Linked DNA regions of Ovis aries. The protein of the gene in region 2 purifies or fractionates together with the protein of the main gene of each other region. This does not show direct contact. Links are inferred from orthologs where the notes say so. Each region holds a gene or a part of one and is shown on either strand. Other genes may lie near its edges. The genes, in order: CCT8, PPP2CB, SLMAP, PPFIA1, CTTNBP2NL, PPP2R5D and CEP350.

Region 1 (4,033 bases), on a different chromosome or scaffold from region 2:
AATAGTCAGAAAAAGAAATGCATCATCACTCAAACCCCTCTCCAGACACCAAAGAAAATCCAGTGAAGAAACAAAAATTTGCTATCCATTCCTTGAAATAACTTTGTAAGAACTCAAAACATACTACCTATTCTTAAAGCCACAGCTCAATGGCTTCCCCTGCCTGCACACCTATTATTTCTTTCCTGCCAATTTCATATTTTTTCAATCAACTTAAATTATATTGACATGTACAAAGACTAAAATTATTTACTTGAAAGTGTGTTTTGCTTATTCCATAAATTTGTATCAATTAATTCAGTTGATGGGAAGCAAGAGAGAATTTTTCTCCCTTAAATTATGTCATTTTACTTAAGAGAACTATTCCACAGCTGTAACAATGGTACTACCTCAAAGGTGAAAGCACCATAACTTTTCTATCCTCTCAATAGGACAAAAAGTAACATTTTGATTACAACTTTTCTAAAAAGATCCAAACTGCTGATTAAAGATTAGGAAAACTGTACAGGAGTTACTGAACTGTGAAATGATTTTCAACACTACAGTGTATTATGGCTAAAATTCTCAATTTACATATAATATCCTCAAACAAGTTTCAAAGAACTACTACACAAAATTATATTATAGTACTGTATTTTTTTTTAAACATGAATTTAGAAATTACCATTTGGTCCATATGCTGTACGAGTTGTTTGGGCCAGCTCTTTGCAAGCCTGTATGTTCCTGTACACAGCCTCTTCTAATCCTGAAAAATGCTGTAGAAGAAAATTTCTGATTAGGCAGGACAATGAATCTCAATAATTTCTTCATCTGTAAAATAATAGTACCTGTCTCAAAAGACTGTTGACATTATCAAATGAGATTTATGTATGTAAAGCATGGTGTTTGGTGTTCCTATGATACCAGATACCATCCTAATTCACAGATTTGTCCACAAGTTGAATGAATAAGGCATGACATTTTTAGGGACCATGAGTACCTACTTACACATCAAAACATAAAGCTTAATTTTTTTTAGTTTAGTGAAAAGTGCAGAGAAGAGTGCTAAGCCTGATTAGAGAAAGCATATGAACCATTGCAGATTATAAAAATACCTTTCCAGAGTCTACCAATTCTTTCTAAAAGCCGAAATGTGGTATGAATGTGATAAAACCTGAGCACTGTAGAGTCAACAGGTCTATGTTCAAAGGGAATTAACATATTTGCCTTATACATTTTTAGAACTAAAGCATACAGATTTTGAATTCTCATTTGAACTGAAACAAACTGTTCGTTTGTACACATTAATTCCAACGTGTATACACTGAAAACTGAACTGCTCACAGTACTCAAATTTTCAAGTTTTACAATGAACTTCTTTTAGACATGGGATTTACTTGTGAGTCTCAGATAAATTTCAAGAGCCTACTGTTCATGTGAACATCTTTTTTCTTACTGTTTTAACAAGTCAAACTCACTTCATCCTCAGTGAGTTTGGTCCCTTAGCCTGAAACATTTCTGCCTTTAATCTTGGCCACTAAGCACAGAGCTGAGTTCTTTCCTTAACATTTTATTTACTGTTCTACCCCAAACTTTCCTTTATAATTTTTTTTTAGAGGCGCACTTTCAATTTCCTTTATCATTATTTGAAATTATCCTTCTGCTTATTTGGTCACTTATTTCTGCCTCAGAATAAAAAAAATACGGCCACTTCCCTTTTAAAAAAAAATTAGTTCATGTCATTTTCAGCAAAGCTCTTTCACCAATACTTACAGTAAACCTCCTTACCTACTAGAGTCACGTTATCCCCAAAGTGCATCCTCGCCAACAAGAAACCTAGTTCCCTCAAACTGTTACCACAAATGGAACCACAGTATCTACATTCGTTTAAGCACAGCAAGTCTGGGTGACAATAAGGGAACGCAACTATTTGAACCTAAGAGACACACTTACAGCAGTGTGTCTAAGACATTAAAAAAACAAACAAAAAACCATGCTGTTGAAATTACTTTCAAGATCTCGCCATAAAACAAAAGCTTTACTTAGCTCAGGGTGTCACTTACTCTGTTGGTTACAACTATTTCCGTCCAATCTCCCCAACTGAAAGATGAGGAAAGTAAGACCCAGAGGATTAAGTTTTACCTCAAGCTGGCTAAGTTCAGAACAGAGCCCATTGGGATTGTAACTAAGATTTATCCTATAATGCACTATTTCTGCTAACTAAATGGGGAGCTCGCCGTTTCTCATTTGCAAGAGTTGCCTCGTCCCTCTCCTCCCTGGACCACCCGCTCCTGGAACCGTTTCGCAGTACTCAAAGCAACCTCACCTACGTTATTTCACCTACTTCGCGCCCCTCAAAGGAGAGCCTCCTCACTCCCGTTTTACTGACGGAGGAAAAATGCAAAGAGCGGCCTTCACACCCTGTAAGGCTACAAAGCAAAAAACGCGCCGCCTGCGGCCTCGTCGTCCACTCGCCGTTTCTGGCCGCTTGCCCCCCTCTCCCGGGTTCATTTAAAAAAAAAAACTCGAAATGCCCGGGGCCCTCCGCGGCCAAGCTCTCCAGAGAACACCTCCGTTTCTGGAATCTTCTTTCCCTCCGACCGCTATGTCGGGTGGGCACGCCGGGCCCGTTGGTAGGCTTTTCTTCTTGACTGCGGCCGCCGCGGCTCTCCCACCTCACTCCCTCTTCCTCCTTTTCTTACCTTCGCTCCCTCCTTGAGCATCTGGGCAAAGCCCGGGGCCTTGGGGACGTGGAGGGCCATGACCAGTCTGCAGGGTGCCGTTCACGCGCCCTCTCAGGAGATCCTGGAAGAAACGAGAGGCGCGCACAGCTTCCTGGGAACGTAGCGTGCGGCCGGCTCACGCCCCTCCTTTCTCTTCAGCCGGTCCCGCCCTTTCCCCCGGCGGCCTAGTCTGTGAAGCCTCGCGAGAAGGAGCAGTTAGCGCCGCCAGAACTGAGTTGACGATTCTCGAGCTGGTCGATCGATGGGGTGGCTCGATCGGGCTGGGCCTTCTGTCTTCCTGCCGACGCACGCGTAGGCTGCCTGGCGGATGTGGCTCGCTCCCGGAGGTCGTTCCCTTCGCTTAGACTCATAGGCTCTGTGCTGGGGACTTTTGAATGTTGTCAGTTTTGTCCTTGAGTTTTGCAACTCCTTCCAAGAGTAGCTTCCGTGTAAATCTTCCAGAGCTTCCCACGATATCAGCCAGGTGGGCACCCCTTTTTTCCCGAGGCCGAGGATCTGCCTTCATCCTCCAAATCTGTGGTTGAACTTGCGCTCAGACTTGGGCCCTGTAGCAGCTCTGGGGACTTGAAGGTGATAAATGAAAATCTGAAAGGAAAACTACGTACTGAGTGCTCATATGTGCCAGGCCCCGTTATTTGCTTTATGTGCGGTATCTTAGCTAGTGGTCAATCTTTTATTAATTACTTTGCAATTTACAATTTAGTTTGTACAAGATCACAGCGCTAGTAGTGTTAAAACTAGGATTTCTACCCAGATTAGATTGCAAAATGCACGTTGTTAGGCAACTGTATTCCTCTTTCCTCCTTTTCTTTTTTCTTCTGTTTTTTGGCCGCCCCACAAGCATGTGAGATCTTATTTCCCCCGCCAGGAGTGGAACCCCGCCCCCCTGCAGTGGAAGCATGATGTCTTAACCACTGGAACACCTGGAAAATCCCTTTCCTGCTTTTTCTTGGAAATATAAACCCCTTTTACTTTCCCACAGTCCTTTAAAACCTGACCTCTGTGTCATCCCACATCAGCACATGACTGATTTCAAAAGACTGAATAATGGCAGAATACTTCAAAGAATAATTTCACACAGTGAAAGTAATCCACTCTCCTAGTAGAAAATATAGACAACTGAATAGAACGTTTGGCTTGTCTTTTGTTCCTTGGTCAGACACTTGCAAATGATTTATTTTCCTTAAATCGGGACAGATTTAGTGTGTCTTAAGGAATAATCAAATGTGTTACATGTACTATAACTTTTTCTAATTAGCACTTAAGTGCATAATTATGAAAAAATATTTTTGCGAGGCATCTCTAACCAA
Region 2 (4,226 bases):
AGCCAGGGTCTGAACGCAGGCTGGCCATTATAAACAAATGCTGCACTCAGCAGGAAAAAGGAGGGCAGAGGTAGGGAAGTAAAATGGAGCTGTAAGGTTAGATGACAGAAAATCAACACCACAAAGGTTTGCCACAGCTGCTGGCAAGGGGCTCCACACTAAGCACCGCTGAGAAGGGTAGGGGCTGCGGGGGGCACGCCACTCTGCTCCAGCCCTCCACATCCCTGGCAAAAGCAGAGGATAAAGATAAATGACAAAGCACTGCCACTTAAAAATTCGTGTTTGGTGGAAAAGTACAAATATTCAGAGAAAAAAGTAGGTAAGATATAAGCTTAAATATACCTCAAAGAAACTAGGGACTGGCAGTTCAACTTATTTAGGAGCTGAAGTCAAAATAATCTCTCTGGACAAATTCAGAAAGCTTGCTCAGGTGACGAAGGATCAAGTGTGATCGAGGAGGGGTGCAACATTCTTCTCCCGAAAGACGTCTTAAAATTATCAGACAGTCAGAGGGAAAAACTGATTCAACTACCAACTTTGCCCACCACTTAAAGTCTATGTCTACTAGTCACAGAGAGGTTAACTGACTCAGCTAATTTCACAACTGGGTATTTCACCCGACAGTCAAGCCTGAGAGAGACAGCGATTTAAAACATCAATCTTAAAACGTGAAATTACAGGTTATCACACAAGAAAATTGAATGTAGCCAGAACCTGAAGCAGTCCATAAGCAATTTGTCTCAGAAACACAAATATACCACTTTTTGGTAGTTCTATTTACAGAAATACATCCTCCTGTATCAATACACAGCTATTTAGTAGACTCACAGACATAGAAAACAAACTAAGGGTTACCAAAAGGGGATGGGGAGGGGATAAATTAGCAGTTTGCGATTAACATATACACACTACTTTATGTAAAAGAAACAAGAACCTTCTGTATAGCACAGAGAACTATACCCAATGTCACGTAATAACCTATAATGAAAAAGAACCTGAAAAAGAATATTGTGTATTTATAGCTGAACAAGTTTGTTGAACACTTAAATGCAACATTATACTTTTAAAAAAAAATTGTTAGTACATAAAAACCCAAAACAACGTTACACTTAATTTAAAAAATAAAACACTATTTTAAACTTAGCATTAACTCTTCCATTCCTAAGACATTTAATTTTAAGGGTACTCTATAAATAATATTAATAAAATCTTTCCTTCAATGCCTTTCTGAAGCATCCTGCTTTCCAAACAAAATCAAGAAAGTCTTAGGGAGTATGGCTTAAAAATAAATAACAATTCAAAAGCATTAAAGAATAAATAATTTTGTTACTCCTCCACGAGACCTTTTTACATAAAAATAGTCTAGGCTATAAAAGATGAATGAGAAAAAATGTAAAGTCCAAAATAATTCCAGTGATTAAGAAAAAAATGGATACAGAATTCAGAAGATTGTCTACGATCACACAATCAAGAGCGACTGAAAACAGTAAACCACCTGCATATTTTATTACTTTTTGGAAATGAAAAAAAAACCTTACATGTAACAGCAACAGAAATAACCTTCTGAAAAGTGCTACCCTTCAGGAGAAACACATACCCCACTTATCATTTCAGGTAAGCACTGTTGCCAAACTTAAGACTTGCCGTCTTGTTTCTGAAAAATCAAACATTTTTGCTTCCAAAGAGCCTCTCAACGTGAAGACCAGCCACCATCTGTCTCAACTAGAGTCAACTTCTATTTTAAAAAATCACAGTCTGCCATCACACCCACCTCTCTACAAACAAATGCCTGACGCGTTACCAAGTATTAGCGATGTTTGAAGGGCCGAGTCACCTGAGAAAAAGCCTCTGTTTATTATTACCACGCGCGTTGATAATTCACAACACCCAGGCTCATTTCGGTGCACTTTCCATTACGAGGCTGCAGGAGATTAATCTGCTTGGCGGCTGAAGCTTCGGGATTGCCAGTCCGCCCGGGTTAATGCTGGGGTTGTCAGCAACCCTCACTAGAGCGCCGGTCACCCCACAATCACACTTGGGTGATGAATTCCAGGTGTCACGGAGCCCCCGCCCACCCATCCCAGACGCCTTAGGTCTGGATCCGGGGCGGTGCGGGGGGGGGGGGGGGGTCCGGGCCTAACCAAGGGCTGTGTCCCGAGAGGGGTCCTGGAAAGGCCCGGCCCCGCCCAGGGGCTGAAGCCGAGCATGAGACGCAGCTCCGTCTGGACCCGGTGCCGGGATGAAGGCGGGCGGGCGGCCCGGGAGGGGAAAGACGAGGGGTCCCCGCACCGCCCACCCCGCACCCAGCCGAAGCTCCCCGGCCGCACCTCGCCCCTCTTCTCGCTCACCTTTTCACACAGCGTCCGGACTTGGTTCTCGTTAAGCTGTTTACACTCATTCAGCTGCTCGACCCACTGGTCCAGGTCCTTAGTGAACGCCTTGTCGTCCATGGCGGCCCCCGCCCCTCCGCCGCCGCCTCCTCCCGCCCCCCGCGCGCCCCCGCCCCGGGCGCCGCTCCCCTAGCCCCCCGCCGCCGCCGCCGCCGCCGCCCAGCTCCCGGCGGGGGAGGGAGGAGCCGGGCACTGCGGACCCCGCGCCCCGCCCAAGCCCCTCGGGCGGCTCCGAGCGCGCGGCCTCCGGGAGACCCCCGCCCGCCCCGGCCCGCCGGCCCGCGCGCCCCGAGAGTCGGTGAAGGCCGCGGGGACGTGCGGGGCTTCCGCGCAGCTGCCGCCGGAGGATGGGCACCCGCCGCCTGCCGCCCGCCAGCCGCTCTCGCCTCCCTGGCTCCTTCTCTCTCGCTCTTTCTCTCCCCTCCCTCCGGCTTTCCGTCATCGCCCGGGCATTTCCGCCGGGAAAAAAGGCGAGCGGGCGGCGCCGCCGGGCCCGGGACTCGAGAAGGCCTGCAGCGCCCCGTGTGGCGCGGCGGAGAAACAGGCCGACGGGCGCGCCGCTGTCTCGCTTTTCCCTTTTGTATCGTACTTCTCCACTCGGGTCCAGACCAGTCTCTCCTCGCTTTTCCCTTTACGTCCTTTTCTCTGAGAATTTTTTTTTCTTCTTCTTTTTTAGCGCTATGGAGAGAGAACTGGGAAGCTTGTGCTTCTCCTTGACCACATAGTCTCCCCAGAGTCTAGCACTGTCCCATAGCCGGCGTTCATTACCTATTAAACAGATACATACGTAAATTCTTCCATATCTTAGCTTTGTCATTAAGCAAGCTGTAGGGCACCGACATCTCGAATCCTCCCTTTAGGCATCAGAAACACGAATCGATTACTCTGTGATTATCAATCAGTTGTCCCTTCCAGCTCCAGCATTCTTCACCACATTTATGCAGTGTTTACTGAGCTCTATTGATTTGTTCACTCAGCAAATGTTCATCGAGCAACTGCTAACTGCCAGATACCCTGGAGAGCAGGTGGTCACCAACCATACTTCCTCTACTAGACAAGTGGCGGCAGGCAGCATCCTTTATCAGAAGGCAAGAGCCCCCTCTTGGCATCGCCAACCTCCTCGCTGTGTCCTTGGACAATGACCAGATTGCCCCCAGCCTCTGAGTCCTCATTTGTTGCAAAGGTGCGGTAAGGCCTGCCTTTTCAAGTTGTGAAGATTAAATTCTACAAGAGCTTATCCGATAGTACAGAATGGAACTCATGTTCCTTGCCTTACTATCCCTACTAGGCAACAGCTACCGAAAGGTTTTCTCCCCGGGGCAAAACGTTGAAGTTGCCTGGAGAAGGGAAAAGAAATTACACCGATTTGTTTTTTGGACGGTGGCAGAGGACAAATGTGTGAAAGACTGAGGTCTTTTCGGGAAGCTATAAATACTCCTAGCGTCGGAAGTCAGTCATATGGTGGGAAATATGGCTGGAAAGCTCCTGTTCTCAAGTGCCTTGTAAATAGCAGCAAAGCAGTTGAGGACAGAACGTGAAAAGATGGCGAAACAGTACTGAACAAACAGGATACCTGCCGTGATTCAGGAGATTTGCGGTCTCCGAGGAGGTTCGTCTATAAAGGTTGAAAGGTTGAGTTTCAGCTAAACCTGTCAAGCTCAGAATGAAATGAGAGTAAGAATAGTGTTTTTGGAGTTCCTGGAGAAGATGGATTGAGAATCAAAATATACCTTGAGGAGAGATGGGAAGGACAGATTGTGTTTAGGGAGGGAGGTCCTTCCTAAGCAAATGTGTTTGAGATTAATGTGAGAGAATGCTCTTAAAGCTGAGAGTACG
Region 3 (4,212 bases), on a different chromosome or scaffold from region 2:
ACATACAGAGTAGGATATAGATATTATGCAAGCACAGAGCACTTGGGCAATCTTTTCCTCCTTTCTGTGAACAACAATTTATATAATAATTCCTTGATTCAGGAGTATTCCTTTCTCTCTTCCTTTTCAGGCTCAGATTTCCTTCATTTCAAAACACAACTCTTCTAAGATTTAAATTCTTCTTTTAAAAAAGACCTAATCATTAAACTCAGCAAGAGGGTCCAAAAAGTCAGGAGGTAAAACCGGAGATATTATTAGTCTTACATAACTTAATTCTAAGTTGGAACGGATTCAGTAGCTTAACTAAAACTTGCGATTTAAGCACAAAGATGAGCTCTTTAGTGTATTCTCCACATACAAAGATAGTTTTAAAATTGAAAGGGTCTTTTTACTCAATTTTTTTTTCTTGTATTAAGACATAAGCATCTACATGTACAGTTAATTAGGGTACCAACATAAAAATGCTAAAATACTCACACATAATCAGAACTAAATTCATCCTATAACATCTAGGTAATGCAATAATCGATAGAGCTGGATATACTTTCAGAAAATAATTTTAACAATGATTTCTAAGTATGCATTAGTTGTTTTTAAAAAGTGCTGAAGGGCACATCAACAGTGATTTTCAAAAGCAATTGGTATCTGTTCACCCAACTTGCAAACAAAACTCTGAAATTATAAACTTATAGTTGTTCATGCTTAATTAAATTAGCTTTGATAACTGCAAATTACTCCTTCATGGGTAAATACGTATCAAACCTTTTAAAAATGTAAATTTACACAAACACTGCCCTTTGCTAGAAAGGTCCTCAGTTAAAAGCTATGGTGTTAACTACATCTCATCACTGAGACACTTGAGCCCAGGATAGTACCGGCCACAGATTCCCTGCATTGCTCTGGGAAGTGCTGCTTTCTTCATCAAGCACTGAACTGCAAATTCACCTTTCGGAAAAGAATGAAAGCAAGAAGCCAAGTTTCACTATCTAGCTTTCTAAAACGCATTAGGGTTTAGGATTTCACTGGGAATGACCACGTTATCAAGATGCCATCGCCCTCTCGAGGCATTTAATTACAATTCCTTCTCTGTTTTCCATTTCAGTCACTAGAACCAGGCACACAAAAAGTTGGGTTTCCCCGCCTGGCTGAAAAGTCTCCTCTGGGTGCAAACCCTGGGATCCTGCATACATTTACGCAGAAAGCGCCAAGGGAAACGAAAAGCAACGATTGTTAGACAACTTAGTAACATTACCTTTCCCGTCTTGTGATCAAACCAGACGAGAGCATGGTTCCTGGACAGCACTTTGCAATCAAAGGTAGCATTATTCTGCGCTGGTCGACAGCGGGCCACGGAGCGGCCAATTTTAATGGGCTCGTCCAGGTAGACATGACGCTCCTGAAACGGGTGTGAGTTCGGGCGGCAAGTGAAGATGGCCAAGGCTGACGGCATCGAGGACAGACTTGGGGGTGTCTCTCCTACCAGGGACAAAGAGGAGTTCCACCGGATCCGAGCTGCCCTTCACAAGCCTAGACCCCCTTATCCACCCCCGCAATTTTAAATTAAAGCAAACTGTACATTGTCTAAGCATAACCAGTGAACATCAACAACTCTTCACTTGGGTGGGAAGACAAGCCAGAGCAAGCCCCATCACCTCCTTGAAAACCCAGCAGCGCCTTGATCACCCAAAAGTCCCCAACTGGCGGCTTTCAGTCCATCTTCTTCCCTGGGAAGTAAAGGCTCAAACATCGGACAGCTTCGGCCCAGAAAACTCCTGGAAGACAGTTTGGGGGCTGGAGGTATCCAAGCAGATGAGTCACACGCCAATTCTTGTGTTTTGTTTGGGATCGTGGCCGCTTTTCCCCCTCGGTGGCGGAAATGTTGCAGCACTGCAGCATGAAGGAAGGGTCGGTGCCAGAAGGGTCCTTGCGGGCGGAAGAAAGGTGCGGCTGAGCACCCCTGGGCGGCCACCGCCCGTCCTCGAGGGCCTCGGGAGTGGTGGGACAAGGCGATGGAGGAGGCGGCGGAGGGCTCTAGACGGCCAGCGGGACAGTCTGCATTGCCCCTGCTGCGCGGAGGCCGCCCGGGAGGTGGCACCGGGTGCCCGGACCGCCCGGGCTCAGGCGGCGGTGGCTGGGGTCCTTGGCACGAGGAGCTGGGGCCGGCGGGGGCGCGGGCAGCGGCCGAGGCGGGACTCCCGGGCACCTGGCGGGCGTCCCCGCGACCAGGGCGGGGATCCGGCTCCGCAGGCGGGTGCGAACCGAGCAAGGCGCGACCCGGAGGGAGGCTCCGGGGTCTTGGGCCGCAGGAAGTTGGTCCCTGGTCGCCTGGGCTCCCGGCTGGTGCTCAGCACACCGGTCGCCTCTTCTCAGGGCCGCCCCCGCGAGGGTCGCATCTCAGGGGCAGCAGCCGAAGCTCCGGGCGGACGAGGAGGTGGGGGAGGGAGGCTGGCCCGGAGATTGGGGGAGAGGCCTGGAGGCCCCGGGTTGGGTCCGCCGCAGCCTCCACCACTCGCGGCCGGTGAGACACGCTCAGGCTGTGACCGACGAGGCAGGAAACTTTCCGACCTGAGGGGGAAAACATCAAAACAAACGGCCGTCAGGCGCCGGTGCCCGCCCGCTTCAGCCCTCGCCCCTCTCAACCCACCCCAGCCAAACCCCGCGACTGGCCACGACCTCGGCCGACCTCTCTGCGGACGGGCTCAGGGGATTGGGAGCCCGGACGCCGCGACGGGTCCACCTTCCCTTGGCCCCGCCGCCTCAGCTTACCTTGCCAGCGCCAGCCGCCATAGTGACTCTGACTGAAACCTCCCCGGTGCACCGCCACGGGAACGCGCACCCTTCAAGGGCCCTCCTACCCCCTCTCCCGCGCCGTAGTCGCGGCGTCACGTGACCGAAGCCGCTGAAGCCATATTGGTCAAGGGCAGAAAAGAGGGCAAGCCAATTTTCAACAAGCCTCCACACGCCATCTTAGTTAAGGGTTAGACGCTTCGAAACCGTGGGGCAACCTTTACTACCATTTTGGTTAAGGGCAATAAAAATTTTTTTGACTTGTTGAAGGTTTTCTAAACGTAACTTGCCAACTTCCTACTTTACCATCTTGGTAAGAAAGCGCCTGCTTTTCCTACATTTTATTCACTATAGTCCTCGTTGAAAATACCAACGAGCAAGGAGGACAAACTCATCCGAAGGAGATGTTATTAGCATCCATCTTAGCTGTGGGCAGCACAGTCCCCCACAGCTGCCCTAGGTGTGAGCAATTAAATTCCACAAGCCTTAGGATTTGTGCATCTAAGGTCCATTCTCCCCTTGCCAGGTATCCTGCCCGGAGGAAAACTTTCTTAGTCCCTGCATTCCATTTCAAATGACCTTACTGTAAACTGGGCCTGTCTTGCCCCCCAGGGCTCCTAACTCAGATTCTACCCCGAAATGAGTGTTATATCAGAAAAGTTAACATCGCGTTGCTTCCAGAAAGAGGTCGAACAATTTCGAATATGAAGACAGAGGTATTTCCTGCACTCAAAATAGTAAGGTAGATAAGGAGTCATTAGTCTCAAAAGGGAAAGACTTCGCTAAATCTAAACGAAATTTTCAAGAAAAAGATAGAAGAAAAGAGCCATACTCATTTAGAATCAGTGGTGACTTCATTCTTCAGATTCCTTTGACAACAGGCTTCACCACTGTGTGACCTTGGGCACATTTCTAAACCAAGCCTCCTTTTGTCATCAATTACATGGAGATAATACTTAACTCACCTGTTGTGAGAATTCAAGGTAGTAATCCATTTGCTCATAAAAGAGTAAGGGACAGTGCATTTCAATTCGTATATACAGAATTGAGGCCCGGCCCCAAGCTCGGTCCTGAACCTGGAAACACGTAGGTGCATAAAACCTTAAATTTTTCTTCTGAGATTACACCTGAGTACTATGAGATAGGGATGGGGAGAGAAGGGTGACAAACAGAGATAACTTCACTTTGATGTAATCAGGGCTAAGCAAGCACTGGGTGCTAAAGGAGTCAGAGATGGTCTTCTATGGGAGGTAACTGAACTGCAAGAAGGCTGGTAGGAAAACCACAATAAATATAGTATTTGATGAACGGCGTCATAAGTTTCCAGGGAGAAAAAGAATAAGTCTCTTTGAAACAATGGGCCAATATGCCTGGCACGCAATAGTGACTAAATAAATATTTGATACATGATTGAAAAGTACATAC
Region 4 (3,500 bases), on a different chromosome or scaffold from region 2:
CTCGCGGGTTCCCAGCCCTCCGTTTGCAGGCTGGTCTGAGCACCCACAGACAGGAGCGAGCACGGGCAGCCAGGGGACGGGAGGGCGAGCCCCCCGCACTCTCCTCCCGGGGCGCAGGCACTCGGGCTGTCCTGGGGGACAGCCTCTCGCATCGCAAGGCAGCTCTGTAATCAGGGACGCACAGAGAGTGCCCGCTGGGCCCCATGCCGCCCGCCCCCTCCCACAGCTCACACCCTTCTCTGCCTACAGGTTCACCCCCGTCAGCCCGGGCAGCACGTCCTCTCCCTCTTCCTGCTTAAAATCGCACCACGGGAACCAGCAGATTGCTCCTCCAGGGCTGCCTGCAGCGCCCACCGCGGGTCTCTGAGAGCTCCCCGGGAGCGGCCTCTACTGTCCCTCTCCCTGCCCAGTCTCTGCAAGCAGGCGGGGGGCCCACCCCACAGGGCAGCTCCCGGGGGCTCCAAGGACCCCGTGTTACCAAACCCCCTCCCCACCCGCCCAGCGTGTCTCTCCCTCAGCTCCAGGCCCCACCCTCCCTGGGGCTCGTCCTCAGTCCCTTGTGCCCTTCTCAACCTCGGAACGTGGGGTGGCCCCCGGCTCTACCCTTGCACCTCATCTCTCTCCACAGGCACCTGCCTGGCGACTTTATCTTGCTCATGCCTTTAAACACCATCTGCATGCCCGCAACCCCAGTCCACCTTGAGCTGAGTTGAGTCCTCTCCCGGATGCAGGCTGGAACACTCAGCTGCTGACCAGACTCGTCCCCTGGACAGGCCTGTCCACCTCCACAGGGCAGAGGCCCGGCTCTGAGCTCCTGCCTGGCAGCCCTCCTCACCGTAGCAAACAGGCTCTGGCCTCGAGCTGCTCAGGCCTGAGCCTGGGTCCTCCCTGATCCAGGCCGCTCTCTCCCTTGTCCCTGCCGGTTGACTCGACCCTTGATCTATCTCCGAGTGGCGGCTTCTCTTCCCGCCTCCAGGTCTCTGGTTCAAGGTCACCCTCCTGGTGTCACCTCGTTGGCCACCCCTGTTCACACACGATCGTCCCCTCCTCCTCGGACAACTCGGGCACTCTGGTCTCCTTTCCCTGCTCATTGCTGTCTGACAGGCTGTGCGGGTTTAAAAAGGGGTCCACAAATCCTTCCATCCTCCTCCCTTCAAGAGGCAGAAGGGGCAACTCCTGCTCAGCCCGAGCGAGGCAGGACTTCACAGCTCATGCTCGAAAACAGAAGTGAAGGTGTGCGGCTTCCGAACCAGGGCATGAAAGACCCCGGGCTACACCCTACGCTCTCACTCTCAGAGGGCGTTCCGAGGAAAGCCAGGCCACACAGAGATCTGCACAGCAGGGACCTGGGCCTGTCCCCAGCAGCCAGCTGAGTCTGAAAGCCTACCATCCAGCCCCGGGGAGCCTTCCCTAATCTGCGCCCTCAGGAGGCCCTGAGTCAGGCCCGCCTGGGAGAGGGACAGGAGCTGTGGGCTGTGGCCTGCTCACTGCGAGGTTACCGAGCTCTGCAGTGGTTCGTTACGCAGCAGTGGATAAAGAACACGCACGGTTTTTAAGTCACTGCTGGAGTCCTCGTTCCGACGACGTCTGGTCTAAACTAGCTTCCCGCTGAACGTGGGCGCTCAAAACACAGAGACATACGAAAAAACACACGCCATGAATGAGGCGAAAATACGAAGGCGCTTAACCTTCCAACGAGAATCTTCTCACTAAAACATGAGGCACGTGTGGATCCATTCACTCGTAGGACGGTTTCAAAACTGTGCTAATTAGTACTGTGCCGGGCCTCACAGGAAGCCACACGTTATCAAAATTGGTTCTTTAAAAAAAAAAAAAAAAAAAAAAACATGCCTTGTAAACTCTTAGCCAGAAAAAGGAAAATTCGAAGACGTAAAGCGATCTATCAACACTTGGTTCCAAAACCGTGTCAGGACCACAGTGTCGGGGGCGGGGGCCTCACAAGGTGCCCACCAGGGATAGGCACGGGGTGGCAGGGGTGGGGTGGGGGGGTCCTTGCCTTGGACGGCTCGTCGCGCAGCGCTGCCAGCCGGCCTTTCTGGGGGCGCCGCAGCACCGCCGCGCCGCTGAAGGAGTCTGCCGGCCCGTCGGCCACAGGGAACCTGAAGTCCGGGACGCTGCCCAGGTGCGGTCGGCTGGAACACACGGGAAAGAAGGATGCTGTTAGGAGAAAAGAGAGCTCACTCTGTCAGTCAAGCCAGAGCCTGTCGATCTGGAAAATTGGCAATTTCACAGAAAAGGGGCCGTGGGGCGGGCTCTGCCCTCCTGGCTCCAACAGCAGCAGGCCCACCTGCTGCCCTGCGAACACTCAGGTCTCAGCGCCACCAGCTGGGCAGCTCCCGTATGTAGGGAAGGCAGCGCTAAGGCGAGGGTGCGGCTGGCTGCCCGGTGCTCGGGGCTGCGGTCCCCCAGAGCCCACCCTCAGGTCCCGGGGCGGGGCTGCACCTGCTCTGCCAGCTCCTGGGCACCCACACCCCCTCTGGCCGGTGCCTGCTCTGCCCTCCACCTCCCGTGTGACGTCCATGGACCACAAACACCCGTCTCCCTGGAACACTGTCTGCACCGCTCTCAGCACTTCTGACGGCACCTCGACCGCCCACGGCACAAAGCCCTCGGACCCACAGCTCGGACCTGAGCCGCACGGTGTTTCCCAGGAGATGCAAGTCTGGAACCTCCCCGAGCCACACCTGTCTTCCCTCCCATCTCCCCTCCCTCCTGATGGAACCGCTCCTTTCTCTGCTCAACTTCCACCGCAGCACACTTGGGAGTCAGGTGGAAGCTACGACAGAGTCCTGCTTGGGACTGTGGACACTCGCGGGTCCTCTGAAGGCCACAGAGGCCTCTGGGTTGAGACGCCCCCCACCATCACCTCCCAGTCCCCTCCCAGAGTGCAGCCTCCATCGCTCTCCCCCTCCTCACCTGAGGCTCTTTCCTCCGGGAGAAGGTCTCAGAGACAAGGTGACCAATTCCACTGGGAGGTCCTGCCAAATACACTGAGCCCACCCTGCCTCTGATCCAGGCTTCAGTCCCCACTCCCCCGGCCTGGGCCAGCCTACCCTGCCCGGAAGCCAGCCCTGAGGCCCCACCTGTGCCGCCGAGTCACTGACCCCTGGAAAGCTGCCTCCTGGAGACACCCCTCCCTTGCCCAGCCGCTGCGGTCCCCGTCTTCAGAGCACAGCGGCCCCTACTACTCCCCGGCTGCCTCCTCTTCTCTCTCACTGACATGCAGGGGACTGGTGACCAGGCTTCTCCCTCTGAACCCCCAACTGCGCCAGGCCTTCGGGTCCCAGCACCAGCACCCTCCTCGTTGCCCAGTCTGCAGAGCAAGAGGCTGTGTCCACCTCCTCTTCCTCCACTGTCCAAACAGCCCTCCTCACACGCATCTCATCCACCCCGGGAGCAGGGGGTCTCCCCCTCTGACAACACCAGGCCCTCACCCTGGAGGAGCTCTGCGGGCAAGGCTGGCCATGTCCCCCATCCGT
Region 5 (4,193 bases), on a different chromosome or scaffold from region 2:
GTCTGAATAGCTAGAGTTTACCTTGCTTTTATTAATCCTTATCTCTGAAATTTAAAATGTGCTTTTAATTTTTATCCCCTGAATTTTGGTAGATGATACTGGTCTTGTAAAGCCAGTCAACATCATATATATATATTACACATCAGTTTCTCCTAGAGGAAAAAGCCCACCATAAAATAGGGGCTAGAGAGTAACCAAAGGCTACCTGACCAGATTAATCATAAACCTAGACCACTGAACCTGAATTTTCTTCAAACACTTCCTCCCTTTTGTTTCAAAAGAACTACACCTTCAAGGTTAACTGCAGTCTCCCTGAGCAACAGACCAGCCCACCTAGACTGGAAGTCACTCATTCCTAATCTAAAGCTCTTTATTTAGTTATCTGTACTGCTTCACTTGAAAGCATGCTGTTACGGACAGTCCAACAATATACACTGCATTCCTACCCACAACGACAACTCTGTAGATATACAACACGCTCAATTCACTGTGAAATACTAAAAGGCGATTTTTCATCAAATTTTCAGGAAGAAATAGGATAGAAAGCAAAAACGAAACGCAACTCAAACCTAAAAAAAAACAATCCTCAGAGGTTAGGTTCTCTTTCAAGTAATAGAGTAAAGGTACAAAGCGGGGTCGGGAAGGTTACTATTTCTCCTCCTCCAGAGTCAAAAAGTCTCGAAGCAGAGGAACTCTCGATACCGCCCCCCGCCCCCGCCCCAGCTCCATAGGAGAATAGAGGATTCAGGGGGAAGGCTCAGGAATACAGAATGGGGGATGGGAGGAACCCAAGTTGGGGAAGGCCGATTCGTCCGTGGAGCTGGCTGTCTAGGTCGGGTCTTTTGATTTTTGCATCGTCCCATCTCTCTTCTTTTTGAAAACACTGATTTTTATCTTATGGATAAAATTACCTCTGGTCCCTCCCTTGCGAGCAAGGACAGGTGTTGGAAGAGATGTCTGGCCTCCTAGGGGTACAAAATGGGGGCGGGGGCGGCAGTCTAAAGAATGGGAACCTGTACGCCTTCTCCCAAGGTTGAGGGGCTAGGTGAGGGACCTTTTAAATGAGGGGTATCAGGAAACCAGCCCCTTCTGGGAAGCTGGGATTGATGGGGGACAGTAAGTAGCTGCAAGCACCCTCGAAGGATGAGGAGCCGCCTCCTCAGGGAATACCGGGAGGTAGAGGAGACGGCCCCGCCCCCTCAGGGGATGGGCGCGAGTGGCAGCTGGTACGGTGGCGGGAGGACACCGGCGGTTCTACCCCTGTTTTTCTTTCGAGAACCTGGCCTCCCAGCCGCCGCCAAGCCCCGGCGCCAACGGCTCCTACCTTTTCCCGGCGCTCAAGGTTCCTCTCCCTGCCGCCTCCGCCACCCTCTCCATCCACAGCCCCTCGAGGCCCCGCCCCTCAACAGCCAGGCGGGGGCACTGGCATTCGGCAGAGCCAATGGCCTCCTCGCCTCTCCAACCCCGAAACCAATCCGCGCCGGCTGGAGGAGGGGCTTCTCCAATGTCATTTAGGCTCCTCCCGGGGCCCCAAGATCCCTTTTGTTTGGGGAGAGCCAAGCTGGGATTGAGCTCGCGTCACTTCCGGGAGGAAGCTCAGTCCTCCTGCCCCGGCTCGGGGTGGGCTTGCGCCCCTCCGGGCCCGGATTCTGCAACTTTCCACCTTCTATGGGCTTTCGGGACCAGATGGTGGCGAGTGCTTCGTGTGTACCCTCGTTGTACGGGAAGCTCAGGAATGGGTTTCGGGTGTCCTGACTGACTGGGCACATTAACGTTTCATCCAAAATGTTAATAAATGAAGTGCGCTCTGGTGTTTAGAAAACCTGCTGTTGAAAACCTGGTAACGTGGCTTGCCTGTTCTACCCCCCGACACACTTTTTTTTTTTTTTTTGGCGGGGGGCGGGGGAGAGGGGGACAAAGCGTGTGCTAGAGAAGGGAGCAAAGATGAAAAACCCAGAGACCCCTCTTTTCACATTATATTTGGAAGAGAATAGTAGCTTCTGGAGCCCCTGGAACCCCTGGAGTGGAGACGCCGGGTAGCTTTCCAACCCGACTTCCTTTCCAGGTAGAAATCGAATGAATAAAATTTCTGTGTGTCAGTGTTTTCTACGCTGTTTTCCAAATGAGAATTTTTGTGTCTTTGGCCCCATTGTACTGTAGGCTGCCGCAGCCCTGCTGGGACAAAGGACAGTAGAGGATGCAAGGAATGTCTGTCCCTCGTGAACACAGGAATGCAGATCTGGTGGCAGCAAGCCCTTGTTTAGTCGCTAAGTCACCTCCGACTCTTTTGTGACGCAATGGGTCCGCCAGGCTTTTCTGTCCATCGACTTTTCCAGGCAAGAATACTGGAGTGGGTTGCCATTTCCTCCTCCAGGGCATCTTTCTGATCCAGAGATCGAACCCGCATCTCCTGCATTGCAGGTGGATTCTTTACCGCTGAGCCACCTGGGAAGCCCCGCACTAAGCCCTCCAGCACCAAATAACCCAGAGAAGGGCGAGGGTGCATCCCTTCCTGAGGTCAAAGTTTCTGGATTTCTTTATCCCTTTCACGGATTCCAGTTCAACTGGTTAAACGAATAATAATCACATTGCTTTAAATATAATACATGCTTACAATTATTTATAATGCACAAGTAATATGAATTAATTTCAATGTATTATTTCTAATATTAACAATTATTATTAAGCAAAGCAGTAGTGAGGCCTCCTACTCACCTAGGCAGACTGTCTCAAGACAGATCCAGCTCTGTCCACACGCAGTTTGCAGTCAGGTGGAGGGATGTAGTCAGTCGGCAAACATAGGGAAGTTCGAAGGAAGTAAACCAGTATTAATGCCATTTTGTTGCATAAGTGCTCAGTCAGGTCTGACGCTTTTGTAACTGCATGGATTGTAGTCCACCAGGCTCCTTTGTCCATGGGATTTTCCTGGCAAGAATGCTGGATTGTGTTGCCATTTCCTCCTCCAGGGGATCTTCCCCACTCAAAGATCAAACCCTTGTCTCTTGCACTGGCAGGTGGATTCTTTACCACTGAGCCACCTGGGAAGCCCTATTAATGCCATTCAGTTCAGTCGCTCAGTTGTGTCCGACCCCATGCCAGGAATCCCTGTCCATCACCAACTCCTGGAGCTTCTCAAACAGATGTCCATCGAGTTGGTGATGACATCCAACCATCTCATCTTCTGTCGTCCCCTTCTCCTGCCTTCACTCTTTCCCAGCATCAGGGTCTTTTCAAATGAGTCAGTAGTTCACATCAGGTAGACAAAGTATTGGAGTTTCAGCTTCAGCATCAGTCCTTCCAATGAATATTCAGGACTGATCTCCTTTAGGATGGACTGGTTGGATCTTCTTGCAGTCCAAGGGACTCTCAAGAGTCTTCTCCAACACCACAGTTCAAAAGCATCAATTCTTTGGTGCTCAGGTTTCTTTATAGTCCAACTCTCACATCCATACATGACTACTGGAAAAGACCATAGCTTTGACTAGATGGACTTTTGTTGGCAAAGTAATGTCTCTGCTTTTTAATATGCTGTCTAGGTTGCCATTCCTGCAAGTTATTTTCATATAATGATATTTAATCTTCACACAGGAGACATGAATTTGATCCCTGGGTTGGGAAGATCCCCTGCAAAAAGGAACAGCTACCCACGCCAGTATTCTTGCCTGGAGAATTTCATGGACAGAGAAGCCTGGTGGGCTACAGTCCATAGGGTCTCAAAGAGTCGAACACAGCTGCGCAGGCATGCACACATACGCACACAAATGTAATATCTTTCCTAACCTGTAAGATAGACCATTGGTGCCTATTTTACAGAGAAGAGAGAAATTCAGAGAAATCAAGTAAAGCCATAGAACTAGTAAATGGAAAACAAAGACCTTCCAACAAGGATGTGGATTCCAACTCTGTGCTATATTCTGCTCTCTATACACTTGGCTTTCAGGAGGAGGGCTGGTTCAGAGAGTGAGTCTGGATGACCTCCAACTAGCATTAGAAACAGAAATGGGCTCCATGTCTCCCTCTATTGACTGCTGGCTTGAGAATGTCCTCTGTATGTATATTTGAAGGACAAGAGGACTGTACTGAAGGGCTTCACAGCAGCTCAGATGCTTCTGAAGTAACAAATAGGAAATTCAGAACTTCAGAAAGACATCATTCCCTGTGTTCTGAAAGGCAAGATGAAGGGCCAGGGACAT
Region 6 (3,089 bases), on a different chromosome or scaffold from region 2:
CTGCTCCTAAAAGAATAGTTTGTAATCTAAGATTTTGCAGACTGTAGAATCCAGGTGAAATGCTATTCTTTCTAGACTGGCAGGATGGGCAGGCTTCCTTAGGAATAACTGGACAAATTCAGTGACCTTACTAGTCCAGAATCTCAGAGTTAATTCAACGAATGGGGAGGGGAGCTGGTCCCATTGTTCCAACCCACTAACGGGTCTCTGCCTGTGATTTCAGAACATGTAGAACTGGTGAAAAGGACGATGGCTGGCATAAGCCTGCCTGCGCCAGGGGTTCCTGCCTGGGCTCGCGAGATATCAGATGCCCAGTGGGAAGATGTGGTACAGAAGGCCCTCCAAGCCCGGCAGGCCGCCCCTGCCTGGAAGTGACCACCCTGAGAGCTGCTGTAACTCCCTACATTCCAGGCCAGAACCAGCACAGGACTGAACATACCCTGGTTGTCACATCCATCTCCATCCTCCCCAGCCCTCCTCCACATCAAGGCAAATCAGACTTCTTCTCAGAGACCCACTTTATTCAGTTCTGTACATATGGGGACATCGGCCCAAGCCCAACCCACCTTAGCATGTATCATTCTGTGGAGAATAAAGCACCCTATGTACACAGCCAAAAGCTGCACTGCCTGTGCCCTCGGAACCTGGGTCTGGCCCTCCCCAGCCCCTCACCCCTCCAAGGTACCTGAAAGGGACAAATGAGGACCTGCCCAGCATCAACATAAACAAGGAAATAAATAGGTGTTGGGGGGAGCCATGCTTGGAGCACTGCTCCCTGCTTCCTTCTTGGCTTTGGGGACCAACAGCACAGGAAAGCAGTCAGCCCCGGGGTGGTCCCTTCCATGTCAGTGATCCCAGGGTTGCTGCTCACCGGAGAGGGGGCATAGGGTTGGGCATCTGTTCATCCCCTTCTCTCGGTCCCTTTGGGCCCTCTATTCATCAGCTGTGGTCCAGAGCCTATGCTTTTCTCCTTTTGCCCTCCCATGTTGTCTTGGTCAGGCAAGGGGTAAGAGGAAATAATGCAGACCCATCAGCCTGCACGCCTCTGGGACTGGGGGCCTATTTGGGCCATTGGGGGTTGGCTCCCCTCTGGCTAATTCACTCCAGGGGCCAGTGGGGCTTGACAGAACTTTGGTGAGAATCGTCTCCTGCTGCCCCCTACAGGCTTGCAGGGAGGGAGACGAGGGGGCACCTGGGGCCGAAGGGGAGAGGAGCGTGTTATTTCTGTGTGTATTTCTCAGAGCAGCCTCAGGTAGCTGTGGGGTGAGGAGCAGTAGGGGGCCAGGCATCCCCACGTCACTGTCAGGGTGCGGAGCACCGCCGTGCCCAGCCTGTCTGAACTAGGCGCAGGGAGGCATGAACACCTCTGGGGGAGAAGAGGGGCCACTCTCTGGGTGCCCCTGCTTCTAGGGCTGCATCCCCCCCCTCCCCAGAGCAGAGAGGCCCTGCCTTGCCCCAAGTCAGCCAGTGGGGAGCAGAGGGTGGAGGGCTGGGGCAGTGTCCCAGGGCCGAGTGGGCCGTTGCCCTGCGGCGGGAGGCGAGGAGGTCAGAGGGCCTCCTGGCTGGCAGTTAGGAACTCTTCGGCCCGCTTGTGCGCCTCCAGTGCCTTGATGGTGTACACGTCCTGGGGCAGCTCGGACTTCCGCCGGAGCAGCACTTTCTCCTTCTTGATGTCCTTCAGCATCTGTGTGTGCATGTGTAGAGGGCAGGGGGTGATGACCGAGTCCCCCCACCATCTTCCTCCCCTTAGTCCCCAGCTCTGCAGCTCCGGCCTCCTCTCCCTCCCAGGGCTGTCTTGTCTTTGTGCTCCCCGCTCCTACCTGCACGGCCTCTGTCTCCACCGTCCTCTTCAGAAGCTGGATGTCCTCTGCCGTGGGGGTCTCGGTCTCCATCGAGTACACGGGAGGCAGAGGGGGAGGTGCTCGGAACATGGGATACTGGGAGGAAAGGAGGCGGACAAGTGGCCAGAGCCACCCGGGTGGTGTGTGGCCCTGTCCCTCCCCCACCCCCAGCGGGGACCTCTCGGTGCAGAGCGATGGCAGAACCAGCTCACCTGGGGATTAAGTCGGGCCAGCTCCTCAATCTTTTGCCACATCTCTTCTCTCTCCTTCATGCGAAACCTGCCCCTAGAGAGGGAGCAAAGACAGGATTTGGATGGGCTTGAGAGAGAAGCACGGGGGCTGGTGTGGAAGATGAACATCCCCCAAGGAGAGACTCACTTCTGCTTCTCAGCCTTGTACTGTTGTGTACAGTCATCAAACAGCTTCTGATTCATCTCCATAAACAGCTTCAGGGCATTGTAGATCAGCCCGTGGATTGTCCTGCGGCCAGGAAGAAAGATGAGGTAGATTAGAGAAGGCACTACCATTACTGTGCCAGGGCCTCAGTTCATTCTCCCACGAGGCATCTCTGCTGAGAGCTTTCCAGCAGACTCCTCCCATCCCATCAGCCTCTGCAGCTATAAGCTCATTGCTCTGGACAGATCATGTGACTTGAGACTGGCATTCAGGCCCTTTACAAATATGGGTCTGCCTGTCCATCCTTGCCTGAAACCTGCACTCCAAGAGCCCACTCTTTCCCATTACTTCTCATTCTTCCACCCAGCACTAATGGCCTCCCAGCACACTTGCTTTTAGCAGGAAAGCTTTTTTACGACGCTGGGATTTAATACATTCTAAGATGATCACATCAGCTTCTCACAACATAGAATTAACTCTCCAAAGCTGCAGAATATCTGACCTCAAGAAGAGATGTGATAAAGGCCACTAATCTGGTGCTGGGTGGCACAGATCTCCCATGTGGGTATCTTCTCCCCAGTCAGTCCCTCAAGGCCCTGTTAATATACAGTGGGCACCAGCCCCGGCTTGCTGAGGGACCAGGTGAGACCATTGGCTCTTGAGTCCATCCCCACCCTCCCATATTCCAAAACCAGATCCTCACTGCCCAGCGCCACCCCAGTTCCCTACTTGTTCCAGTGGCTCTTGGAGTTCCTGTAGAGTGCAGGGAACATGATGGGGAGGACTCGGGCGGCGTTGTCACTTATCAGGCTCATGATGTATTCATTGTTCCAGTAATAGAGGGCACGCTCC
Region 7 (3,500 bases), on a different chromosome or scaffold from region 2:
TTTTTTTCATTCAAGAGGTTAGTTGAAGTCCCTGGGGAAATTCATTCTTTTAGAGGCATATATACTAGTACATTTGTCCCTCCTTTATAGCTTTTCTATTTGAAGAACATAGGTAATATGCTTCATCCAGTTCTGTGTTTGCATGATTTGAGAATCAGCTTCTCCATAAACTTTGATTCATTTTTCTTAATTTTCTAACTTAAGACAACACTTAAAAAATTATACCAAACTTCAGATTTTTCAATTCAGTGCAGTTGCTCAGTCATGTCCGACTCTTTGGAACCCCATGAATCACAGCATGCCAGGCCTCCCTGTCCATCACCAACTCCCGGAGTTAACCCAAACTCATGGCCATCGAGTTGGTGATGCCATCCAGACATCTCATCCTCTGTCGTCTCCTTCTCCTCCTGCCCCCAATCCCTCCCAGCATCAGGGTCTTTTCCAATGAGTCAACTCTTCGCATGAGGTGGCCAAAGTACTGGAGCTTCAGCTTCAGCATCAGTCCTTCCAAAGAAATCCCAGGGTTGATCTCCTTCAGAATGGACTGGTTGGATCTCCTTGCAGTCCAAGAGACTCTCAAGAGTCTTCTCCAACACCACAGTTCAAAAGCATCAATTCTTCAGTGCTCAGCCTTCTTCACAGTCCAACTCTCACATCCATACATGACCACTGGAAAAACCATAGCCTTGACTAGACAGACCTTTATTGGCAAAGAAATGTCTCTGCTTTTGAATATGCCATCTAGGTTGGTCATAACTTTTCTTCCAAGGAGTAAGCGCCTTTTAATTTCATGGCTGCAGTCACCACCTGCAGTGATTTTGGAGCCCAAAAAAATAAAGTCTGACACTGTTTCCACTGTTTCCCCATCTATTTGCCATGAAGTGATGGGACCAGATGCCATGGTCTTCGTTTTCTGAACGTTGAGCTTTAAGCCAACTTTTTCACTCTCCTCTTTCACTTTCATCAAGAGGCCTTTTAGTTCCTCTTCACTTTCTGCCATAAGGGTGGTATCATCTGCATATGTAAGGTTATTGATATTTCTCCCGGCAATCTTGATTCCAGCTTGTGCTCTTCCAGCCCAGCGTTTCTCATGATGTACTCTGCATAGAAGTTAAATAAGCAGGGTGACAATATACAGCCTTGATGTACTCCTTTTCCTTTTTGGAACCAGTCTGTTGTTCCATGTCCAGTTCTAACTGTTGCTTCCTGACCTGCATATAGGTTTCTCAAGAGGCAGGTCAGGTGGTCTAGTATTCCCATCTCTTTCAGAATTTTCCACAGTTTATTGTGATCCACATAGTCAAAGGCTTTGGCATAGTCAGTAAAGCAGAAAGAGATGTTTTTCTGGACTTCTCTTGCCTTTTTGATGATCCAGCGGATGTTGGCAATTTGATCTCTGGTTCCTCTGCCTTTGGTAAAACCAGCTTGAACATCTGGAAGTTCACGGTCTAATGTATTGCTGAAGCCTGGCTTGGAGAATTTTGAGCATTACTTTACTAGCATGTGAGATGAGTGCAATTGTGTGGTAGTTTGAGCATTCTTTGGCATTGCCTTTCTTTGGAATTGGAATGAAAACTGACCTTTTCCAGTCCTGTGGCCACTGCTGAGTTTTCCAAATTTGCTGGCATATTGAGTGCAGCTCTTTAAGTTATTTTTAAATGTTCTATTTATTTTTAGTATAGTGTATATTCATAAAATAAAAATTTACTACATATGGTAACCTATAAAGCAGGTCATTTTTACTGACCAGAGCTTTTTCTCATCAATATTTGGTTTTTATTTAAACTTTGGTTTCAGAAATTGAAAGGTGTGATTAGACAATTTTGATGTGATTTTTTTTTTCTTCTTCCCCTTTTAAGATGCTGCATTGACAGGTTCTGAAAGATCAGTATCAGAAAAATCTTCATCTGCCTACGCAAAGAGAATGACTGAATTGGATGGTCGGACAGAAGAGCACTTTCAGACTTCTCCGATTCTGAGATCATCAAGGAGGACAAGAGCTGAATCTGGAGATTCTCTAGAAAATGTCCCTTCATTATCTCTTCTTAAAGAATTAAACGCATCTTATAGAATTCTGGATGTATCAGGTGCCAAGGCTGAAGAAGAGTCTAGTCAAAAATCAGAAATACAAGAAGTAGACTATGCAAAATTGGAGGAGAGTGCAATTGAAGATGCCTATTCCAAACAGTCTAGGAAGGCTGATGTCTTCCTGAAGCTAGACCTGGAACAGGGAGATTCATCTGAAATTCTTTCAAGAAAAGATCTTCCTTTAGATTCTATAAATGTTCAGAAAGACTTAGTTAGATTAGCCATTGAAAATCTTCATAAAACAGAAACAAAAGAGGGACAGTCAAATGAAGATATCAGTCATAGTCCAAACATCCAATCAGAAAAAGAGACTCATGTACAAAAGAATATAAAGAGCAGGGACTCATCTTGGTCACAGCATGTACTTGCATCTAAAGAGATGTCGTACTCTGAAGATTTTGATGTATCGTCTTTCAAGAAAGACATTTCAGCTGAATTGTACAAAGATAACTTTGAGGTGGCATCTTTGTTGTCACTCAGGAAAGACTCTCAGTCTTGCAGAGAGAAGTTACAGGCAACAAGCATCTCTAGAAGCAGAGCCACTAGCTTTGGTAGTGATGATGAAATCAGCGAGTGCCTCAGTGAGAAAAGCCTTTCTATTCATAGCAGTGTCCACTCTGAAAGGCTGTTAGAACTCAAGTCCCCCACTGAGCTTATGAAAAATAAGGAGCGCAGTGATGTAGAGCATGAACGAGGAGTTACTGAATCCCCTTCCTTGGCTTCAGCTTCTCTTGCAGATGAATTACTTGATTTCCACATTGGTGATAGGGTATTGATTGGCAATGTTCAGCCAGGAACTCTTCGATTCAAAGGTGTGACTAGTTTTGCCAAAGGGTTTTGGGCTGGAGTGGAGTTGGATAAACCTGAAGGAAATAACAATGGAACATATGATGGCATTGTATACTTTGTGTGCAAAGAGAAGCATGGGATTTTTGCTCCTCCTCAAAAAATATCTCACATTCCAGAAAACTTTGATGACTATGTAGACATAAATGAAGACGAAGACTCTTATTCCGATGAGCAATATCAATATTATAATCAAGAACAAAAAGATACAGAGGGTCCCAAGTCTGACAGAGAAAAGGATACAATTGAATATTTTTATGAGAAATCTCTACCCAGTATGCATGACACAGAAGCCTCAGTTGATAGAAGCCTTAAAGTAGAGACCGACAATATACAGGACATTTCTGGGGTACTCGAAGCCCATATTCACCAGCAGAATTCAGTGGACTTACTGATGTCTTCAGAGAAAAACAAAGACCTTGTTTCTGATGCCACAGAAAAGGTTTCTTCTGTTGTAGAAGACGATACTTTAGATAATACCTTTTCTGAAGAATTAAAGAGGCAACAACAGTTGACTGAAAAGGAAGAGAACTTATATCCCGAAGTTTCAGAAAAGCTTCCTACCC

What was found.
Region 1: the proteins of PPP2CB (region 2) and CCT8 purify together in Homo sapiens (affinity purification with mass spectrometry; 4 studies listed by BioGRID and IntAct, with this or other methods). This does not show direct contact. The link is inferred for Ovis aries from reciprocal best matches to the Homo sapiens genes PPP2CB and CCT8.
Region 3: the proteins of PPP2CB (region 2) and SLMAP purify together in Homo sapiens (affinity purification with mass spectrometry; 3 studies listed by BioGRID and IntAct, counting the BioPlex papers as one, with this or other methods). This does not show direct contact. The link is inferred for Ovis aries from reciprocal best matches to the Homo sapiens genes PPP2CB and SLMAP.
Region 4: the proteins of PPP2CB (region 2) and PPFIA1 purify together in Homo sapiens (affinity purification with mass spectrometry; 4 studies listed by BioGRID and IntAct, counting the BioPlex papers as one, with this or other methods). This does not show direct contact. The link is inferred for Ovis aries from reciprocal best matches to the Homo sapiens genes PPP2CB and PPFIA1.
Region 5: the proteins of PPP2CB (region 2) and CTTNBP2NL purify together in Homo sapiens (affinity purification with mass spectrometry; 5 studies listed by BioGRID and IntAct, counting the BioPlex papers as one, with this or other methods). This does not show direct contact. The link is inferred for Ovis aries from reciprocal best matches to the Homo sapiens genes PPP2CB and CTTNBP2NL.
Region 6: the proteins of PPP2CB (region 2) and PPP2R5D purify together in Homo sapiens (affinity purification with mass spectrometry; 8 studies listed by BioGRID and IntAct, counting the BioPlex papers as one, with this or other methods). This does not show direct contact. The link is inferred for Ovis aries from reciprocal best matches to the Homo sapiens genes PPP2CB and PPP2R5D.
Region 7: the proteins of PPP2CB (region 2) and CEP350 purify together in Homo sapiens (affinity purification with mass spectrometry; 3 studies listed by BioGRID and IntAct, counting the BioPlex papers as one, with this or other methods). This does not show direct contact. The link is inferred for Ovis aries from reciprocal best matches to the Homo sapiens genes PPP2CB and CEP350.

The regions. Positions count from the first base shown.
Region 1 is NC_056054.1:127,699,005-127,703,037, reverse strand, and holds the start of CCT8 (T-complex protein 1 subunit theta), read right to left. Parts: upstream 2,801-4,033; 5' UTR 2,742-2,800; coding exon 2,682-2,741; intron 756-2,681; coding exon 665-755; intron 1-664. UniProt on the Homo sapiens protein: Component of the chaperonin-containing T-complex (TRiC), a molecular chaperone complex that assists the folding of actin, tubulin and other proteins upon ATP hydrolysis.
Region 2 is NC_056079.1:26,064,113-26,068,338, forward strand, and holds the start of PPP2CB (serine/threonine-protein phosphatase 2A catalytic subunit beta isoform), read right to left. Parts: upstream 2,801-4,226; 5' UTR 2,451-2,800; coding exon 2,349-2,450; intron 1-2,348.
Region 3 is NC_056072.1:43,586,993-43,591,204, forward strand, and holds the start of SLMAP (sarcolemmal membrane-associated protein), read right to left. Parts: upstream 2,801-4,212; 5' UTR 2,767-2,800; intron 2,566-2,766; 5' UTR 1,451-2,565; coding exon 1,253-1,450; exon of another isoform or gene 1-1,252. UniProt on the Homo sapiens protein: Associates with the striatin-interacting phosphatase and kinase (STRIPAK) core complex, forming the extended (SIKE1:SLMAP)STRIPAK complex.
Region 4 is NC_056074.1:43,864,122-43,867,621, reverse strand, and holds part of PPFIA1 (liprin-alpha-1), read right to left. Parts: intron 2,154-3,500; coding exon 2,018-2,153; intron 1-2,017. UniProt on the Homo sapiens protein: May regulate the disassembly of focal adhesions. May localize receptor-like tyrosine phosphatases type 2A at specific sites on the plasma membrane, possibly regulating their interaction with the extracellular environment and their association with substrates.
Region 5 is NC_056054.1:89,841,108-89,845,300, reverse strand, and holds the start of CTTNBP2NL (CTTNBP2 N-terminal-like protein), read right to left. Parts: upstream 2,801-4,193; 5' UTR 2,716-2,800; intron 1,398-2,715; exon of another isoform or gene 1,325-1,397; intron 1-1,324. UniProt on the Homo sapiens protein: Regulates lamellipodial actin dynamics in a CTTN-dependent manner. Associates with core striatin-interacting phosphatase and kinase (STRIPAK) complex to form CTTNBP2NL-STRIPAK complexes.
Region 6 is NC_056073.1:16,645,433-16,648,521, reverse strand, and holds the end of PPP2R5D (serine/threonine-protein phosphatase 2A 56 kDa regulatory subunit delta isoform), read right to left. Parts: coding exon 2,967-3,089; intron 2,322-2,966; coding exon 2,220-2,321; intron 2,127-2,219; coding exon 2,054-2,126; intron 1,938-2,053; coding exon 1,821-1,937; intron 1,685-1,820; coding exon 1,547-1,684; 3' UTR 501-1,546; downstream 1-500. Other genes in the region: MEA1 (male-enhanced antigen 1), read left to right, coding at 224-375. UniProt on the Homo sapiens protein: The B regulatory subunit might modulate substrate selectivity and catalytic activity, and might also direct the localization of the catalytic enzyme to a particular subcellular compartment.
Region 7 is NC_056065.1:60,698,403-60,701,902, forward strand, and holds part of CEP350 (centrosome-associated protein 350), read left to right. Parts: intron 1-1,859; coding exon 1,860-3,500. UniProt on the Homo sapiens protein: Plays an essential role in centriole growth by stabilizing a procentriolar seed composed of at least, SASS6 and CPAP. Required for anchoring microtubules to the centrosomes and for the integrity of the microtubule network.